Linked DNA regions of Coturnix japonica. The protein of the gene in region 4 interacts with the protein of the main gene of each other region in a biochemical or structural test. Links are inferred from orthologs where the notes say so. Each region holds a gene or a part of one and is shown on either strand. Other genes may lie near its edges. The genes, in order: MAPT, RRP1B, AKT1, PPP1CA and MPHOSPH10.

Evidence for each region.
Region 1: of the proteins of PPP1CA (region 4) and MAPT, one has a biochemical effect on the other in vitro, tested with the Homo sapiens proteins (2 studies listed by BioGRID). The link is inferred for Coturnix japonica from reciprocal best matches to the Homo sapiens genes PPP1CA and MAPT.
Region 2: the proteins of PPP1CA (region 4) and RRP1B form a complex in vitro, tested with the Homo sapiens proteins (4 studies listed by BioGRID and IntAct, with this or other methods). The link is inferred for Coturnix japonica from reciprocal best matches to the Homo sapiens genes PPP1CA and RRP1B.
Region 3: of the proteins of PPP1CA (region 4) and AKT1, one has a biochemical effect on the other in vitro, tested with the Homo sapiens proteins (3 studies listed by BioGRID and IntAct, with this or other methods). The link is inferred for Coturnix japonica from reciprocal best matches to the Homo sapiens genes PPP1CA and AKT1.
Region 5: the proteins of PPP1CA (region 4) and MPHOSPH10 form a complex in vitro, tested with the Homo sapiens proteins (2 studies listed by BioGRID and IntAct). The link is inferred for Coturnix japonica from reciprocal best matches to the Homo sapiens genes PPP1CA and MPHOSPH10.

The regions. Positions count from the first base shown.
Region 1 is NC_029542.1:2,390,828-2,395,121, forward strand, and holds the start of MAPT (microtubule-associated protein tau), read right to left. Parts: upstream 2,803-4,294; 5' UTR 2,718-2,802; intron 1-2,717. UniProt on the Homo sapiens protein: Promotes microtubule assembly and stability, and might be involved in the establishment and maintenance of neuronal polarity.
Region 2 is NC_029516.1:99,131,570-99,135,081, reverse strand, and holds part of RRP1B (ribosomal RNA processing protein 1 homolog B), read right to left. Parts: coding exon 3,510-3,512; intron 2,412-3,509; coding exon 1,684-2,411; intron 1-1,683. UniProt on the Homo sapiens protein: Positively regulates DNA damage-induced apoptosis by acting as a transcriptional coactivator of proapoptotic target genes of the transcriptional activator E2F1.
Region 3 is NC_029520.1:46,937,111-46,940,622, reverse strand, and holds part of AKT1 (RAC-alpha serine/threonine-protein kinase), read left to right. Parts: intron 1-1,558; coding exon 1,559-1,627; intron 1,628-2,294; coding exon 2,295-2,420; intron 2,421-3,512. UniProt on the Homo sapiens protein: AKT1 is one of 3 closely related serine/threonine-protein kinases (AKT1, AKT2 and AKT3) called the AKT kinase, and which regulate many processes including metabolism, proliferation, cell survival, growth and angiogenesis.
Region 4 is NC_029520.1:170,032-174,075, forward strand, and holds PPP1CA (serine/threonine-protein phosphatase PP1-alpha catalytic subunit), read right to left. Parts: upstream 2,813-4,044; 5' UTR 2,663-2,812; coding exon 2,503-2,662; intron 2,110-2,502; coding exon 1,978-2,109; intron 1,898-1,977; coding exon 1,667-1,897; intron 1,273-1,666; coding exon 1,168-1,272; intron 1,095-1,167; coding exon 871-1,094; intron 700-870; coding exon 565-699; intron 483-564; coding exon 372-482; 3' UTR 184-371; downstream 1-183. Other genes in the region: cell cycle checkpoint control protein RAD9A, read left to right, coding at 10-108; CARNS1 (carnosine synthase 1), read left to right, coding at 3,992-3,994. UniProt on the Homo sapiens protein: Protein phosphatase that associates with over 200 regulatory proteins to form highly specific holoenzymes which dephosphorylate hundreds of biological targets.
Region 5 is NC_029525.1:4,862,249-4,866,347, reverse strand, and holds the start of MPHOSPH10 (U3 small nucleolar ribonucleoprotein protein MPP10), read left to right. Parts: upstream 1-1,293; 5' UTR 1,294-1,309; coding exon 1,310-1,579; intron 1,580-3,317; coding exon 3,318-3,397; intron 3,398-4,099. UniProt on the Homo sapiens protein: Component of the 60-80S U3 small nucleolar ribonucleoprotein (U3 snoRNP). Required for the early cleavages during pre-18S ribosomal RNA processing. Part of the small subunit (SSU) processome, first precursor of the small eukaryotic ribosomal subunit.

The DNA.
Region 1 (4,294 bases), on a different chromosome or scaffold from region 4:
CTGAAGAAGGAAACAAAAGCAATGATTGCAAAGCCTGGAGCCTTGTTGGTGTGCTCCAAACCACCTCAGCTCCATCCCAGGAGCATCCTCTGGCCAGCAATGAGCCAACAAATGCACGCTGCCTCCTCAGCCACAGCAAGAAGGGAGCTGCTTTATCTCCTTTCCTTGATGAGACCCCAAATCACATCACAGTGTGCAGGGATGCTCAGGATACACAGATGCCCATTGGGTTTCACATCACAGTGTGCAGGGATGCTCAGGATACACAGATGCCCATTGGGTTTCACATAGCTGTGCTCAAACACTCCCCAGAGCATCCTGTGCCCCCACATTCACCAGGAGCACATTCCACCCGCACTCATTGAGCAGTGCAAAGTGCTAACACACCAAACCAGGACCTCAGGGGGCTTTTAAAAGTGCTTAAAGGAAGAGAACCCAACAACAAACACAAGCTGCAGGCACCATGCCTGTCCTTCTGATTGGACAGACATGGATTTTAGTTGACTTCCTAATAGCTGATGTAATTACAGCCACTGGCAGTGATTAATAACAGGCTATTAGTGTAATCGTGTGCTTGCCATGACCGTCAGGAGCAAATGGATGCAGCAGTGAGGCTCGGGTCACTGCAAGCAAGGAAGCAAACACACGTGGTTTTGTTTGCTGGCAAGAAATAAACAGGATATATGGAACCGAGCAAGAGAAGCTCCAATGGCAGTAAGCAGAGCTCCTGCCCAGCTTCTTTAAGCCTTAGGAAGATGAATGTACAACTTCACTGCTGCCTTTGACAGCCACAAAGCTTGGACAAGGACAGCCCTCCCAGCCCAGCTCACTGAGCACCCACACACCTTTGTGTGTGCTGACCCAGATGCAGACCATCCACTCATCCCACTGCTGGGTTCCAATGATGCTCACGTCCTCCTCTCCTGCCCCCCCCCCGCCCCAGTGTTTGGAATGGAGCTCTCAGCACCTCTCTTTGAAAGTCACATTTAGTGCTTTCCTGCCTCTGGACAAGAATTTCCTGGGCCACCATCCAGCACTGACTCCTGGCTCCACATCCAGCTCACATTCCCAGCCTGGGGCTCATCTGCCCGTTCTGTGGACAGGGTTCAGCTCAGCTCAGCTCAAGACGTCCCACTTCTCCTCCGAGCTCAGCATTTCAGCATCTGTGCAGCCCTGGCACGGCAGCAGCCAGCAGTGATTCAGCAAAGGCCATGGAGCCGCCTGCCTGCAGTGCTGGCTCTCACTGCTGCTTTCTGACACCAGGAAACGTTTGGCTGCTTCTTAGGGAACCCGTCGGTCTCACTGTCTCTCTATGAGCTGCAAAAAAATCCTTTAATGCTGTTCTGCTCACAGCTGGGCACAGACAGCCCTGCTCCCATTGAGCTCCATGCATGGCTGGAGCTGAAGGAGCGGGGATGGGCTCCTAATTAATTTTGCAGAGATAAGAGCTGCCCGTTAGGTTACAAGGAAAAAAGCATCACCTAAAGCCACAAAGAGCCGAGGATTAAATCACCCAGATGCCCCCTGAGAGCTGCAGGACACACAACTGTTTGGACAGAGGGACTTTGGGGAGCAGCAGCATCTCCCAATGGGGCTGGATGGCTTCGTGCTGTGCCTGCAGGGCAGCAGGATGGAAGCAGGCTCTCCCTGCAAGGGCTGGGATGCAAAAGCATTACAACAGGGCTGATAAAGCTTCAGCACAACAGAGAGGTAAACAAACGACACCAAGCAGTCCAGAGGGTGAGGCCAAGTGAGCCAGCAGCACCATTATCTCTTAGCTGCAAAGCTCTCCCAGCTGGGTTGGAAATACACAGGCTGTATCATCACGCAGTCATATTCAACACTATAAAGGCGTTTTATGCCTCTCTGATGGATGCTGGAGTCCATTCTCCCCCACATCAGCTAAAAGCAGGATCAGAACATGAGGGGGATGCACATAGTTGTGGCTCGGATCCGTCCTGCTGCAACCAGGAAGCAAAACCAAAGGGCTCATCCACAAAGCGCTTCTTATTCTAAGGGGGGTTGAAAACTGCACGTCTATGAGTTACAAACAACATCTGAGATGACAAACCTTCTGCTTCTCAAGTGGAGGAGGAGGAAATCCCTCCCGTGAAAGGGAAAAGATGTTCCAAAAGGCCGTAAGAACAGCCTCAAAGCAATGGGTTGGGAATGAGTAACTCAACAAGGAGAGCTGCAGAGCTCAACGTCAGCAGGGCACCATGCAGGAGATAAAGCACACAGCCCTACCAAGAGCCTTATCCCCTTCCAGCAGGACTATCCCCACCAAACAGGGGCCCTATCTAAGCAGCAACAGCCCACTGTGGTGTTAACAGCCCCTCAAGCCCCATTAACAGCCCCAGGCTTCCCATGGGGGCACAGATATCCGAGCTCAGCCCACCAGCACCATTAACTCCATACACACAACCCAGTCAGGTCCCTCAGCCTAAAGGTGCCCCCTAAGAGTCAAACCCAGAGTCAAAGCCAGCAGGATCTGATGCCAAAGTCCCTGCAGGGCCACCAGCAGCATCAGGATGTATCACCATCCATCACAATGGCACTGCACAGCTCTCATCCTGCTGCTATGGCCACACACTGTGCCCTCCAGCTGGGAATGCTGATGTCCCAAATGAAGCCTGGCAGCTCAAACTCTTCCTGCCTTGATGTGACGTTTCCCCGCAATGACAGGTGAATAAAAACCAGGGCTGAAAACAACGTACCCTATTGATAGCAGCCTGGGTTGGCTGAGAGGAGGAAAGCAGATGCTGGGGACCACACAGCTGTGCTTGGGTGGCACTCAGCCTTCTGTCCTGTGTGACAGATGACATCACAAAGGAGCAAAACCAAAAGGCTTCTGGTGCCAGGGGCTGAGCTGTCCTGCATGCTGTGTGCATCCCCCCACCCCCAGCAGCCCCAGCATCAGCTCACCCTGCCAGCTCTGCATGGATTCAGGGCTGTTCCCCACAGCCCCTGGGATCACAGAGCTGGGAACTGATGCTTCCATTCACATGGGCTAAAATTCCCCATATAAACCATGGATTGACAGACCTGCTGGTGGCCATTATGGGCCATGCATTTCTGCAGTGCTTGGAGAGATGCAGGCTGTGTTTGCACGCTCTGCTGCACACCCCAAGCAAGCACAAGGGGAGCAGCTGCATCCCAGCTCCTGCTCAGCTCCTTCCTTCCCCATTATTCCACCTGCAAGGGTGGCTTGTGTTACTTGAAAGCTCAACAAACATGAGCCAGCCTCGTGTTCCCTCCGACAGGTGATCAAACACAAACAGGTTGGGATGGGGTTGGTTGTTTTTTGCCCCCATTTGAATTACTCAATTAAAACGGAGCGACGGCCCCGTGAAATAACAGCAGCTTGAAAGGCTCTTCATAATTCATAAGCAGCTTCTTTTTCATCTCCTTTGTGCACTTAGCTCTTCCAAGGAGCTTGACAGGCGAAGGAATACGGGCAGTGATCTCATCAACTGCAAGCAAAGCTTAATATGGAGCGAGATGAGAAATCACAGCAAGGCAGGGGGGCAGGAAACTTCCTTTATGTTCAAAGGCAAACACAGAAGGAACTGCAAAAGGAATCCTTTCAGAAATGCATTCTTCATCATTGCTCACCTTTAACCTGTGTGTTATTAAGGCCTGGGTTACCAAGACCAGGCAGTGAATGCTCCACAGCTCTGGAAAGGAGCATTAAAAAGGAATAGCAAAGTTGGGGCTGCAAACACAGGAGCTCAAGGAATGGTCAGTTAAATACCCCCTTACAAACCCAACCTGTCCCAGCTCTGAGCACTGCATGCCCTCACCAGCTGGCTCAGGTTGCCAGAGACAAGCCAAGTGATGCTCACGTGCTGGCACGTTCCTCAGCATTGCTGAGAATTAAACTAACAGAATTTGCCATCCCAAATCAGCTTAAGGGCTGGCTCAGCAGCTGCCTCCTCACTGGGTGGCAATTAGGAGGGCAGATTATCCGAGCCCACCCTGAGCAGTGAGAGCAGCCGGTCCATGGGGAGCAGCAATGGTTCTGTGCCCCAACAGCACAGCCCTGCAAACTGGAACCTGCTGGGAGCCACATTGCATTGCAGGAATATGAAGCCTACACCTTGCATTATTGCCTCACCCCAAAACCACACACCTGAGGGCCAACCCGCTGCTATTGCTGCCACCCTTCCCTCATCTTCCATCCCTTCCTACCTTTCTTCTTCCCTCTGATCCAGCTGACCGAGCAGAATGCAATGCCCTGCAGCACCGATGTCCCTGTGCACACCCAGGAGGAGCACAGCACAGTGAGCTGCTG
Region 2 (3,512 bases), on a different chromosome or scaffold from region 4:
ATATGGTGTCTGTGTACACTTGAGAAATCCAGCAAGTATAATTTGCTACTAGTCTGCTGCCCTCCCCTCAGTTTCACCGTGAGTGTTGCCATTAGGAAACCTGCCCATGCCAGAGGGGTTGGAATAAAATAGACTGAGGTGAATGGGATGAAGTTCAACACGACCAGGTGTCAGGTCCTGCACTTTGGTCACAACAACCCCCCTGCAGTGCTACAGGTTTGGGGCAGAATGGCTAGAAGGCTGTTCTCAGGAAACAGATCTGGGGATGCTGGTTGATTCTTGGCATAACATGAGCCACAGATCAACAGAATGGTAGGGTTGGAAGGGACCTCTAGAGATCATCGAGTCCAACCCCCTGCCAAAGCAGGCTCCCTACACCATGTCACACAGGTAGGCGTCCAGGCGGGTCTTGAATATCTCCAGAGAAGGAGACTCCACCACCTCCGCTGGGCAGCCTGTTTCCAGTGCTCCATCACCCTCACCGTAAAAAGTTCTTCCGCACATTCATGTGGAACTTCCTATGCTGTACTTTCATCCATTACCCCTTGTCCTGTCCCAGTTGTGCACCCAGGTGGCAGAGAAAGCGAATGGCATCCTGGCTTATATCAGAAATAGTACAGCCAGCAGGAGCACTTAACTGATCAGATACTTTTTTTTAATTAGACATTTAAGTCAAACAGAAATGAGCTAACAGGCTACTAACGTGCTGTAGTTAATCAGAGGAAGACTGAGTTTTGTATACCAAATTTAACTGATGGTTTATGAATTTTCTATCCTTTGAAGTAGTAATGTCAGCAAGACTTCCAATAATACGCTTGAGCCCATAAATGCTTAAGGGTAAATGTCCACACAGAAAATGAATGGTTAAAAGGATTTCAGAGGCGAGGAGCAGAATAATACTATCTTTCTACAATGCCCCCAAAAACGTACAGTGCAAAACACTTTTGGACTCTCAAATTGCTGAAATCTACCTTCACCGCCAAAAGAAAATGGGAATGGGAGGTAGAGGGGGAAAAACGAACTTGTTCCCAAATTGCAAAACTGCACGTAGTAAGAACAGTACAGTCAGACCTTCCCAGCAAAAATCCAGCCTGACCTTTATGAGAAACTACATCATTCTCAAAAGTGATCGTGCAACCACTGATGACACTGAAATTCCCAGTGCCGTACCATCTGTTCACTCTTTTCTGCATAGCACTAACAAGGTGCAGAAGTGAGTTAGCAAAAGAAGCCATGATTGGAGTTACTGAAGGCAATATCACAAGGAGCTTATACTAATCCAAGTATACAGTATTGCTGCTGAAATAAGCGTTCCATCTCGGCATTCCCATCCTTTCGCCGAGATATGCCAAGGTTGCAAACATGCCTGTCCAGAGACCCAGTGCAAATCAATAATTAAGTCAAAGGGGAAATCAAAATCAAACAAACTACCCTAGCCAACAGCAAAGACTGCTCCACATCCTAACTAACCAAGTCTCAGTCACATGAATACTTTCACAGGGGTAGCTGGCATAGGATCTAATGTAATAGTGTGAGAAGGTTTAAGAATGTAGCAGGAGTGAGAGGATTTTTGGGAAACTGGTCCTTTTAGTAACTGTACAGGCCAGATGTAAAAAGCAGCCTGGAAGCTTGTGAAGAAACAAAAGGGAGGGGGAAAAAAAAGAAAGAAATAGATCTACATACCTCCTTTCTGCTTTTCTTGCATGCAGTCTCCAGAATTCCATTGGTTTCAACAGAATTTAGCACCTCTTTAACTTTCCTCTTCTTTTTCAAGATTGCTGCTTTCTGGTTGGAGACCTCGATCCCTTCCAAAGCAACCAGCTTTGTCTTCTTCAATTTGACCTTTCCAGAGGGTTCAGATCCAGAGTCCACAGCCCTTGGCAGTGGGCCCTCCTTGTTGGATTTCAAGTCTGTCTGCTGCAAAAAGTTCTCCCCATTGACCAAGGCAGACCCTGCTTTTAGTTTCTTCTTCCCAGCCTTGGGAATTAATGGTGCGACAGATGGGTTGACATCCTCTGCTTTTTTGGCATTAGCTGGACCATTTTGACACTCCAGCTTTCCAAGAACATTCTGCACTTCTGGTTTCATTTTCTCTGACTGAATCTTTTTACTCTGTTCTGTGTCATTCTGACCACTCGGTGTGGAGATGCTGTGCTTATCTCTGGTGTCACTTACTGCATTTCTGATCTCATTTGCCTCATTAACTACCAATTTCTTTTTCTTCTTTATCTTATTATTTTCTGGCATTTTTCCCACGTTACATTTAACAGATCCAGATGTTTCAGCTATTCCCTCCTCAGAATTTCCATCAGTTGTTCCAGAATCAGCACGTGGGCTCTCCCTTCTCTTCCTTTTTTTCCTCCTCTTCTGTGGTACTGATGTCTCTTTTGCACTTGATGTCTCTTGTTCATCTGTAAGGTGGAATGATGCAAAGATGGTAACGAATATTCAAAAGGTTATTTATGAGGAAAAACTCACCAATATGGATGCCTTTCCTGGGAAATGCTGAGGCAATCTCCACTAAGGAGCAATCTCAAAGAGATGCTGCCTTAGTGGTGGTCAGCCCTTAAATGAGGTCTAGAGGAGGTGGAGTCAAGCTCCACCCCTTCCAGGAGCACAGCTGAATTACCCTCACCTGTGCTCCCACAGCTGATCCAACACTTGCCTCAGCTGACTAATCAGAGCTTCAGGCTATGATTACCAGTTTCCCATACATTCATCCTTTCCTGAGCCTACTCCAAAAGGAATGCCATACAACACAAATGTGAAACAAAAGGGTACATACAGCAAATGAGTTTAAAAAAATAAAAAAGATTAGTTCTTTTCTTTATTTATTTTCTCCTAATAGACATAATCTTTTCTTGTTTTACTGCTACAGCTGATCAGGACATCACATTCCCTTAGCTCCTAGCCTAATTAATATTTTGCTGATCTTGCCTTGTCACAGCTGACTATTCCATTATATAAGCTATTTCACGTGGGAAGAATATTTTGTATAGAAACAACATTAGAAAGAGTTATTATCTACCTGTTAATCCCAGAAGGGCAACTCAGGGGTTCAGTACTTTAGCAAGGTATTTTTGGTATGATTCAGCTTTGCCCAAGTCAGTATTAGACACGCTGCTATAGACTTGTTTCTGCTTCTTAGGAGCTTTCTTCACCTATCCAGAAGCTCCACCAAATTCCTATATTCTGATATCCTTTTCCAGAAACACTGACACGTTTCTGTTTTTCTACAGTAAGTGAACTGCTCAGTGGAGCAATGCAAACAACTGCTTTCAGTTCTGCTTTCGATCAAAACTGAGGCGATCTTTACCTCACAAAAGAGAAACAAAATTCCCATCACTATCAAACAGAGCTTAATTTCACTTTTAACCTTCATTGCAACACAAATCAGTGCGCTCTCAACAACAGTTTATGCCTTCTTCAGTATTGCAGTATCCAACACTTCGCATTATTGGACAAGTGATCATAGATCATCTCTCTTAGAAAGATTGATCTTGTCTTACCTT
Region 3 (3,512 bases), about 47 Mb from region 4:
CTGAGACTTTCCTTGTTTTTTTGGTTGTTTATATAATGCATCTGAGATCTGTGTTTTTAGAGCAGCTATATATTCTTGTATGTTTCCATTTTTGGGAAGCATAAATTATAATCCTTTCTAGAGCCTCGTGGATCAGACCTTCAGCGCCTCGTGAAATCAGAGACCTTGTAGTTTCAGGATGTGATTTGATGTTATGGCTCACCTGTATAATGGCTGCTGTCTCTTAAGATAATTATTTGCTTTCCCTGTCCTCCAGATGCTTGCTGTCCTCTGTGACAAAGATCAGGATGACTCTGACCTTGTGACTGATGAGTTCAGGGTTACATAGTGGGAAAAGCCCTTTAGTATTTTTTTTCCTTCTCACAATCCCACAAGCAGCTCACTGTGCAATCGGAGCTGTTTTAATGCCAGCAGAAGTGTGGGGTAGGACAGGGGAGAGCAGGACCGTGCTTTATCTGCTGCTTTCCATTTAGATTGTCTAACTGCTAGATGAAGCTGTAGCCTCACTTTACATCTCTAGCACCAGCAGTCTCCCTGGATTGAGTTCTGCATCAAGATTTTGTAGTATTCATTACGAGTTTGCTTTGAATCATTTCCAACCCTTCAGAGACCTACGTAGTATCCTGGTGGTTTCCCTCATCCAGGTACACACGAGTTTAACTGGAATTTAAGCTTTTAAAGCATGACCTCTGAAAGTAAATATTAGCAGAATCGAGTATAATCAGTTCATGTTTGGTGACTGTCTAAAACCTGGTCCCCCTTTTCTTTGTGAAACCATGGCTGGTGCAAAAATGATTTCTCTAATAATGAAGATGGTGATTATACCAAATGTGGTATTTTTTCATTGCTTTTGTAAACCCTAAATTCCAAAGCAGTCTTGAAGTCAGCTAGGAGAGCAGGTTGTGACCAAGAAACATAAGACCATGGCAAACAAGTTGGTGTTACTCTTGCTGCAGGAGTACCCATGACACAACTGTGCAAAGACACCTTGTGACACTCCATCACACCCTCTGTCTGATCTGTTTTTGCAAATTGCTCACAAGTGGATATTGATAGCATTGCTCAATCCCCTGGCAGGCTGTCAACAAAGAGCAGTTGCAGTGAGCAGGGCAGAGACCAGGGGGCTGGTGTCTGTAAGCGCACTTGTTTCACACTAGTGGGCTTGCAGCCAGCGTGGCAAAACCTTGTGCTCTTGGATTTGGCTGTGGCCCACAGTCTGAGAGATCAAACTGGGAACCTGTGGCCTGGGGAAGATACTCCAGTGACACTGCCAGTGCATTTTGTACAATTGTAACAGGTTAGGGCTTCCCACAGCATTATAGGCATTACCAATAGCTTCTGCAAGGGATTTGTTTGTAATGTTGCTTTCAATATATTTAATAAAATAAGTTGGTGGTGGATCAGTACTCAGCTCAAACAAGAAACTGCAAGTATTATATCAGAGTCAAGGACAAAAAGTCCTCTGAAATCTTATTTTTTGTCTGCCTAAATACTGATTCAAAATGCTTTTTCTAACTGTCAGTGCGATCTTCTGATTTTTCGTTTAAATCTGTTTCAGGCTTTAAAGTATTCCTTTCAGACACATGATCGCTTGTGTTTTGTCATGGAGTATGCTAATGGAGGGGAGGTAAGGGAAACATAATAATGTTCAATAATGTAGGATATTCCTTTACTACTACTACTAATTGTGCTTGCCATTGTTTAGCTAAGGTCTGTGTTTGCATTTCTAGTTAATCCTAGTTGTCCCACCTAAACAGAGCTGTCTGCAGTTTTAACTAATATTAAGACACATATTTCTTCATCTTAGTGCAGGTTTGGGTGTAGGTTTGTATTTTACATATGATGGCAACATACTTTAACATTTAGTTATTCAGAAAAGTGACTTTCTGTTTGCTTTTCAGGCAGGTTTTAATACTTCTAGATGAACATTATGAGCACATCACTATGGAGAGAATTTGAAGTGCAGAAAAATGCTGTTATTTAAGAAGGAAAAGATGAAATATCAACATTGAACTGTGCCATAGGATAGCTATAATACGTAACTGTAATTTGATTTAAAGGTTTTATTTTCTGTACACAGAAGAAAGTGTAGCATACAAACTAGTTATTAGCTTACATCTGTGAGTACGAGTTATAATGTGTTGTTTATGATGGTTTTTAAAACATTTGGGAACGCAGCTGGGTGTGGATGGGGTTTTCTCTCAGGTAACATCAGATGCGTGATGGCCTGCAAAGTGTTAGATGTAACTCAAAAACATTCACTATCTAAATGTGATACACTGTTGTTCTTGTAGTTGTTTTTCCATCTGTCGAGAGAGCGCGTATTTTCTGAAGACCGGGCACGTTTTTATGGAGCTGAGATTGTTTCAGCGCTGGATTACCTGCATTCAGAGAAGAATGTGGTTTACAGAGATTTGAAGGTATGTAGAAAAACAATTTCAAAGGCTTTTTGGATTTGGGCTTTCGGTTTCTTAGTCACAGAAGTAAATGAGCCTTGACTGTAAGAAAGCCTTTTCTGACTGAAGTTTAACATAACAGTTATTGCAGCTGTCGAGCTTGACTTTACAGAGTGTCTAAGCAGCTTTGTAGCCTGAGAGCTTGTCTAGTGCATTTATCAGGGCTCTGACAGTGTTCTGGAGAATACAAAGAGGGTCTGAGCATTGTGGGTTGTATTCTCACCTGACTGCTTGTTCCAAGAGAAACCTTTCTGGCTTCACACGTGATGAAATACAATTCTGGACTCTTCATACCAGGTCTTATCAGATACATGCAAATTCACACTGTGTGGATGTTGTTCTTCCTTTCAATCTGCTGTGCATCACTATCTTCGTAGTACCTTTTTGCAGAGAAAAAATTGCATAAAGTTCGAATGGCTTATGTGTGGTGAGCAGAGAGGGAAGAGTACTGAGTAAGGAATCTCAGGAAAAACAAACTTGGGAAGTTCTCAAGGGTGTTGCAACAACAAAACTGGTTTTCTGAGAAGTGTTTTCAGGAGAGAATGAGGTGATGCTACTGGGAGCATGCAAGGTAATATTTGCAGGCTACTTCAAAGTGCTTCTAGGGATTCCTGCTGGGATTTTGTATCCCATATGAGTGGGATTCCTTTGAAATTGCACTTTGTTTCTTACGTAGTTTGACATTCTGTATTGAAATCGTGCTTGTTACAAATTGGTAGTGCAGACTAGAATGAATATCAAGTGTTGGGTAGATGTACAAAATGACTCTCATATAAAGGAACTCTGACAAACAGTTCCTTAAACTTACATATTTACTTTCATTCATTTACTATTCTTTAATAGTACAGAATATTGTACACAGTCACTTAAGAATAAAAGCAGGGATGAAGTTATATGAGGAGTAACAATGCATTATTTTTAAAAGAATCTGATGTTCTGTTGGTGATAATATTTTTGGAAGCACAAATATGTTTACATTCAGTATCATTTTGTATATATGACCAGTTACCCAAAGATTGCAAATGAGTCCCCTAATGCTCCCTAAAGAACTAGGGA
Region 4 (4,044 bases):
CCCCCAAAGTTCCGCTCGTTGTTTTTTGGCTCCGTGCTGACACCGGGGGGGCCTGGCCCAGCCCCCAGCCAGGAGGTGCTGGCAGAGGACAGCGATGCCGAATGCTGAGAGCCCCCATTGCGATGCCATGGCGCAGCAGCTGGCACTGCCTGGCCACGTAGGGTGTGATCCTAAAGCCACATCTTAAGACCCATTACAAGTTTATTCCCCAAAAAAAGCCTCCTGCCCTGCCTTCACTGCCAACTGAGGGGCGGGTCCTGCCCCAGAGGGTACATTTGGTACAGTAGAAAGCGGCAAGGGCAGGATCTGACAAATAAAAAAACGAATGGAGAAAGGAGCGACCTGGTGCTGGGGCTGCTGGCGGTGGACACTCACTTCTTGGCTTTGGCAGAGTTGCGTGGTGGGGTGACGGGGCGGCCAGCAGGGTTCAGCCCACTGAACTGCCCGTACTTGCCCTTGTTCTTGTCTGCTGGTTTCAGAATCTGCAAGGAAGTGAAGGGTGAGTGAAGGGGCTGCAGGCAGAGCCCTGTGTGCTGCCCCCTCCCCGGCAAAGCCCCAGCTCACTTGGAAGGAGCACATGAGGGTCTCGTCCACACTCATCATGGCTCCTGCGTTGTCAAACTCCCCGCAGTAGTTGGGTGCAGAGAAGAGGGTGACAAGCTGGCGTTTGGCAAAGAACTCGTAGCCGTCCTCCACCACCTGTGGGGCAGCAGCACTCATATCTCCCTGTTCTCTGTCCATAGAGCCCACCAACTCCCCCAGGGGGCAGCATCCCCTTCAAAAGAGCCCAACCACATCCTCAAGAGCAAATGGCCCCTCCTGGGAAAAGCTCCACCGTTATGGAGCCCAGGTGAGGCCCGACCCCATTACCTGGTGTGCCCTGCAGATGAGATCGAGGTCATGCTTGTGCAGGAACTTGGCCACCACCTCGGCCCCAAAGGTGAAGGACACTCCTCTGTCATTTTCACCCCATCCTAAGACATCTTTGTCAGGGTCAGACCACAGGAGATCACACAGCAGGCCCTGGTCGGGTACGTCCGTGGGTCGCATGATGCGCCGGATCTGTTCCATCGACTGCAAGTCAGGAGACAGCCCTGCACAGGAGTGTCAGGTTATGCTGTGTGGCGGCCTTTGGACCCAGGCGGCAGCCCCCAGCCCTGTGCCCACCTCCGTGACAGCAGAATATCTTCTCATCCACAATTGCTGCAATTGGTAAACAGTTAAAACAATCGGTGAAGGTTTTCCACAGCTTGATGTTGTATCGCCGCTTGCCTGTGAGGCAGCGGGGTGGGTGCTCACAGGAGCCCTTCATGTGGGCCATGTTCCACCCTCCCCACCCTCTGGTGTATCACAACACACACAGGGCAGCACTGAACCCTCCAGGGGGCTGGGGGGGTGGCCGTGGAGGTGGCTGGGATGGGGGTATGAGGTCTGCAGGAGGAGGTAGCTGGGATGGGGCATAAGGTCTGCAGGAGGAGATGGCTGGGATGGGGGCATAAGGTCTGCAGGAGAAAGTAGCTGGGATGAACATAAGGTCTGCAGGAGATGGGAAGAGCTGCAAATGGGGATGGAAGGGGGGACTTTGGGCTGGCTGTATCATATGGGGTTGGCAGTGAGGTGACAAGGCAGTCCCGTTTGTCAGTAGTGGGGCCGGTGCAGCACTCACACTCATCATAGAAGCCGTAGATGCGGTTGATGCTGGCACATTCGTGGTTGCCACGCAGCAGGAAAAAGTTCTCCGGGTATTTAATTTTGTAGGCCAATAGAAGACAAATTGTTTCTAAAGACTGCTTTCCTCTGTCAACATAGTCACCAAGGAATAGGTAGTTGCTCTCTGGTGGAAAGCCTCCATATTCAAAGAGCCGAAGCAAGTCATAGTATTGTCCATGGATGTCGCCTGTAAGAAGATCGCGGGGGACACGCGGTGACGCTGGCTCCCAGCCCGCCCCCTTCCCCTCCCCCCGGCTCGTCGCTCACCGCAGATCTTGAGCGGAGCCTCGAGCTCCAGCAGGATGGGCTGGCTCAGGAATATCTCCCGTGACTTCAGGCACAGCCCCCGGATCTCGTTCTCTGTCAGCTGCACGTTCTTCCCAGGCCGTGAGCCTTGCACTGTGCGGGGGTGGCTTTCAGCAGAGCCCACTCCACCCCCGGAGCCCGCAGAGCCGCCGTGCCCTAACAGTCCCGCACTAACGCACGGCCCTCCCGGTGCCCCCGGCCCTCTGCAGCCACCCCCCATCCGCCCCGATCGCCCGCAGCCCCCCTCATTCCCACAGCCCCCAGCGGCTCCCACCGCCCGGCTCCCCCCGGCCCCCCGCTGCCCCGATACCCCCCGCTGCCCCACAGCCCCACAGTTGGACCCCCAGAGCCTCGCACGGCCCCCGTTTCCCCGCAGGCCCCGGCCCGCAGCCCCGTTCTCCAGCCCCTCCTTGGCGGCACAGCGCCGGTCCTTCCCTCCCCTAGCGGCTCCCGAGGCGGTCCGGGAGCACTAGGCCCATCGCTCACCCTCCAGGAGGCGGCCGATGATGGAGTCGAGGTTGAGCTTCTCGGTATCCGCCATGGCCGCCGGACGCTGCTTCCCCCCCCCGCCCTGGCCCGCCCCGGTCCCGGCCCCGCGGCCATAGAGAGCGGCCGGGGCGAGCGGCGGGTGGCGAGAGCGCCCCATGGCGGATGGGAGGCCGCGGAGGCGCGTGGGGGCTGCGCGCTCCCACGAGGCGGCGCCGTGTCGTTCCCCGTGCCGGCCGGTTGCCCGGCGGCTGTTGCCGTTGTCAGCCTCGCGGCGCGTGGGGAGCCCCGCGGGGACGTGTGCCGAGAGACACGGTGCTGCCACCGGCTCCACCCGCCTCACTTGTGCCCCTCGTGCCGCCGTGCCGCCCCCACGTGCAGTACGAGCCGCGCGGTGCCGGCACAGCCTGGCCCGTTGCCCGCGGTGACACCGGTGACATTTCAGCCCCGCGGTGTCAGCTGCGCCGCTGTCCCCGAACGACCCCGGCAACTGTCCCCGCTCCGCTGCCGGCTGCGTGTCCCGCTGCTCGTGTCCCGCCTCCCCGTGTCCCCCGATCCGTGCGGCCCCACGTCGCGGTGTGCTCACATCCCGTGTCTCCGTGCCCCGGCTCCTCCGATCTACCCGTCCCCACCCCGACGTTGCTCTGTCACCACGTCCCCCACTCTCAGATCCCCCTTTTCCCGTATCTTCCCTTATCTCCGTATCCTCCGATTTACCCGTCGCTACGTCCCCGTGCCTCGTATTCCCAAATCCCCGTGTCCCCGGATCCCCGTAACCCCACAGATCCTTCTCCCCGTGCTCCCTCGTTCCCCATCTCCATTTCCCCATACGCCCCAGATGTTCTCATGCCCTCGCATCCTTGTCTCCACGCCCCATAGTTCCCTCACACCCCACACCTGATACCCCGCACCCCTGAATCCTGGTGCCCGCACACCCCGCACACCCCCCATTCCCTCTCTCCCCCCCTTCCCCGCCCCGCCCCGCGCCCTCCCCCGGGGACGCCCTTCTGCCACCGAAGGCGCCTCCGCCGCCGGTGCAGAACGGGCACGGCTCCGCGGGCACCGCCGCCACGACCGCCCGAAAGCGACAGCGACCGCCGGTGGGTGCAGGCGGCGCCCGCTCCACGCGTGTCCGAGGGTGTTGGCGTGCGCCGTGCTGCGCGTGTCCGGCGGTGAAATCGCGGGCAGCCGTTGCGCTAAGCCGGGGGACGTGCGGGGCGGCACCGAGCGGCGCCGGGGACGGGCGGGTGGAAGCCGGGGACAATAGGGCTCTGTGCCGCTAAGCCCGGGCACGGGGCCGCCCCACTGCCAGCGGCCACGCGTGACTGCGGGGCACGGCTCTTCCCGGTGGGGCCGTGTGGCCGCACGCCTCAGTGTCCCTCCGGGAGCACGGTGGCACGGCGCGGTACCAGTGGGGCCGACGGTGCGGGCTGCGCCCTGCTCACCGCGACCCCTCTCCCGTCTCTCGCAGCCTCCCGACGCCCGCAACATGGTGAGTGGCGGCCCGGGGTCTGCGGGCGGGGGGCCCCTTCCCCTTTCCCG
Region 5 (4,099 bases), on a different chromosome or scaffold from region 4:
CCACACAGAACTGTGATAGCAGTTGCTTCTGTTGTTCATTTCTGCTGCTAAAATGAGGGAGCACTGGGCAATAGGCAGAATAGATAGAATACCTTCTCTGCAAACAGATTTCCCAGCCCCCCTCCATGGAGATTATACAGTGGCCTTGACAAGGTAATACAACTGAGACATTTCCATTTCTTACCCAAATGAGCCACAGTCATTTCTGACTTTTCTTAACCCTCAACGTAATGCATATCATCTTTGAATTGCAACCAGATTTCTGTCGCCTTTATTTACACTCCTTATACGCCCTCAGTGCCATGCAGCAGCCGCCAGGATGACACTGAGGATGCTAAGTACAGAGCCCTGTAAGCGCAGGCTGCCGAGGCAAGGAGCCAGCCCTCACCTCTCGAGATGCAGCCAGAAACGCAGCATTCCCCTCCTCTCCCCCACCCCCATCCCTTTTGTTACGGCAATACAAGAATTGGATTCAAAAACTGCTCCAAAAGGGGAAGGCAGATCACCATGTAATGCCTGCTGCTGTTTATCCCAGGAAAAATTGGGAGCCCCTCATGGAGCAGCTTTTTCCCCTCCAGATCTGATGACGAAGGGAGCGGGGGAAAAAAAAGAAAAAAAGGATAAAAAAAAAAAAAGCTAATGACAATGTTTGATCCGTTTGCTGCATGGGAGGCATGAAATCAGAAACAAACTCCTAGCGGTGCTGCATTGCATGAGGGCTTCTCCTGCGTTTCGTCTGACCATTAACGGACCCTCGAGCCTCCAGCCCTGCAACAAAACCCTGACACTGTGCGTGTAGCCGCGCCGCCCGTCTGCACCGAGCGCCCGCATCAGCGCACGGAGCCGAGCGGAGCCGGGCGGGCCGGGCACAGCGCTGGGGGCGGCCGTCCCGCGGGGAGCACAGCGGCACAGCGGCCGCCCGGTGCAGCGCCCCGACCATCCCCGCGGGCTCCGGGCGGCCGAGGGGCGGCGGGAGGAGAGCGGCCCCGCGCAGCCCCGCACGGCCGAGCCCCGCGCCGCCATGCCGCAGGGCTGCCCCCAAAGCCGGAGGGTCCCCCCTCGGGCACAGCGGTTACCGGCGGCGGGGGACGGGCCGGGGGCGGCCCCGCTGCCGCTCTCGAGGTGCGCGGCGCCCGCTCGGGCCGAGGTTCGCCCGCTCAGCTCCGTGAGGCGCCGCGGGGCTCCCGCTCCCCCGAGGAGCCGCGGGGATGCTGCCGCCCCACCCGCCAAGGAGCCCCGGCCCCGCCGTGTCGCCGCCCGCGGGGTCCGTGCCCTGCGGCCCCGCTTCTTACCCTGGCTGACAGCCGCGATGCCGGTCCCCACCCCGCGCCGCGGCGACCGACACGGGGGCAGCAACCGCTCTTTTGTGTGCAGCCTCGGCGCCACACACCGACACGGCTGGTGGGCCCGGGAAGCTGCGTGCGAGAATACAGCCGGCCGCCCGGGAACATGCATGGCACATAGCGCCACCGCCGCGGCGCCAAAGGGAGACGGGGAGGAACCCGCCGCGAGCACCACTCGATCGAGACCCGCGATTCGAGCCCGACTCAGCACCCCGCAGAGCGGCCTGAAGGACGGGGTATGGCTACAGGGGGGATAGGGGTAGGAGTAGGGGTAGGGATAGGGATAGGGATAGGGATAGGGATAGGGATAGGGATAAGGATAAGGATAAGGATAAGGATAAGGATAAGGATAAGGATAAGGATAAGGATAAGGATAAGGATAGGGATAGGGATAGGGCGAGGGGAACGGTTTGAAAGTGAGACGGGAGGTTTAGGTTAGATATTAGAGGAAGTTTTTCACACAGAGGGAGGTGATGCACTGGAACAGGTTGCCCAAAGAGGCTGTGGATCCCCATCCCTGCAGGATTCGAGGCCAGGCTGGATGTGGCTCTGGGCAGCCTGGGCTGCTGGTTGGTGACCCTGCACATAGCAAGGGTTGGAGCTGGATGAGCACTGTGGGCCTTTTCAACCCAGGCCATTCTGTGATCCTGTAGTTTTCCAAGAATGACATTTCTTATGGTCAGTGACAAACCCAGTTGGCTTCTCGGTCGTTTTACCAGAAACAACGAGATCTTCCCACAGGGAGGTGATTGCAGTTACTGGGTAAATTAAGGAGAACATGTGAGATGGAGTGCTGCTAGGCCAGTTATGACAGGACTTGCTCATCAATATGCAGATCTCAGACTTGTAGTTATTGACTCTAAAAGGCAATCTTTGTAATGACAGCAAAAGTGAAAAGCCGCCTTAATGTCATTGTATTGCGTTCTGGTCAGTCTCGATGTTCACTCTGCATCCCGTCCAGCTTGGTACGCTTTGTTTGCCCTGCGGTAGCTGTACCAGTTGCTTAGCACCAACTCAAATTCCATCTATATGCAAAGGCCTTTCATGGAAACCCAGCTCATGGATTTTTTGTTTGTTTAGGTTCAATTTCTATTAGGATTCACACAACAGCTATTTGTTATTAAGCTGCTACATTTATCTTCTTTTCTTTTTGTCTGTGGTACCAGCCACTGATGCAGAAGTGAGGTTTTCCTTCTCATTTAATGCAAAATGTCTGGTCTCTCACAGTTACTTGTTACTTTAGAACTTTTTGTTTCCTTTAAATCATGACTTAAACTTATCTTTATTACTGGAAAAAATGCAATGTAAAAGTGAATTAAAAGGTTCATTTAACATCTTATGGAAGATTTTAGTACCTGTGTACTATTTTTATGGTAACAAAGCGTTAACAGTTAAAGATCACTTCAAATTACATCTAGAAATGTCACAAAATACTTCAAAATATATCTACTTTAAACGTTTGGAAGAACTCTTCCTAACTTGTGAATCTATGCTGTACATTGAGCAATTAACTGTGCTTTTAATAACGTGAGAGACAGTGCAAATGAACATGAAACACCAGAGATAGCATAACGTTATAAATACTAAAGGACTATACAGTTTTATGAGGCAAACATTCCTCCTTCACAATAAAGTAAATTTGCATTTCATAAAACATTCAAACTGCTTTAAAAACATTTATCAAAGGTGATAGAATTTGTGTTTCCAAGAAGGTGAGATCTTCCATTTTAAAGTGTTGGCCAATTCCTTTGTAAGTTCATAAGTAAATCCCTTGTAAGTTGTTAGTTTCCATTTCCATATTAATCTTACACGATTCAACATTCTGTGATTTAAACTATCAGTTTACTGACTACTTCTAGTGCAGCCCAGTACCAGTATGAGAAGTGCTAGGAATTTTCTTCTGCTTCACAGTCTAATAATTTCACAAATACAGTGATAAAACAATTAACTCTTACCTTTTTCTCTTAACTATAGGTTCTGGAGCCCAACAAACCCAAGTCCGTATCACTAGTGGAAGAATTTCTAATAAGGAGAGAATCAGCTGAGCCCTTCCTGTTAGTATCTCACCATTCCCACATTCTGCTGTTTTCCGGTAAGACCTTCTTGGTCACATCAATTTCCATTAATCTGCCACAGCAAGACAGTCCAAATCCAAGGACTGTCCTTAGCAACATGCAGCAATACTTTGGCATGTGCATTAAGAAAGATATCCCATTCAGGAAGTGGTGAGAAGAAGTTTCTCTTGTCATTCATTCACAGCTTTCCAAATGGTCAGTCTCACAACCGTTTTAAATGCTGCAACTGTGGCTTCAAAACAGAAGTTATTCCAAAACTTACGATAAACTGGGTAAAGATGGTAATAATGATCACAAATCCAAACTGATGCACTATTTTTTCTTAAATCCAGGTGGATTAATTGCAGACTGAACATGATAAAACCAGAGGTTTTTCTATCCTAGAATAAAATGAACTTATTTTAGATCAAGGTGGAACAATTCACAGTATGTGCAGGAAAATAAAAAATGCAGGTTGTGGTTTAGCTGGTAAAAATATTATTTCTAAGGACTGGGAAAAATAATGAGAGAAACAGAAAGTATTCAGCTTTTACAGTTGATATCAAAATGAACTTAGAAAAGTATCAGGACAAACACTGCTTGCTTAACACACACAAATAACATGAGGCCTGGCCATGAATAAGTCAACAAACTGTGACTGCAGTCTATGAGAAACTAAGTACACTGGCATGCTCTCTGATG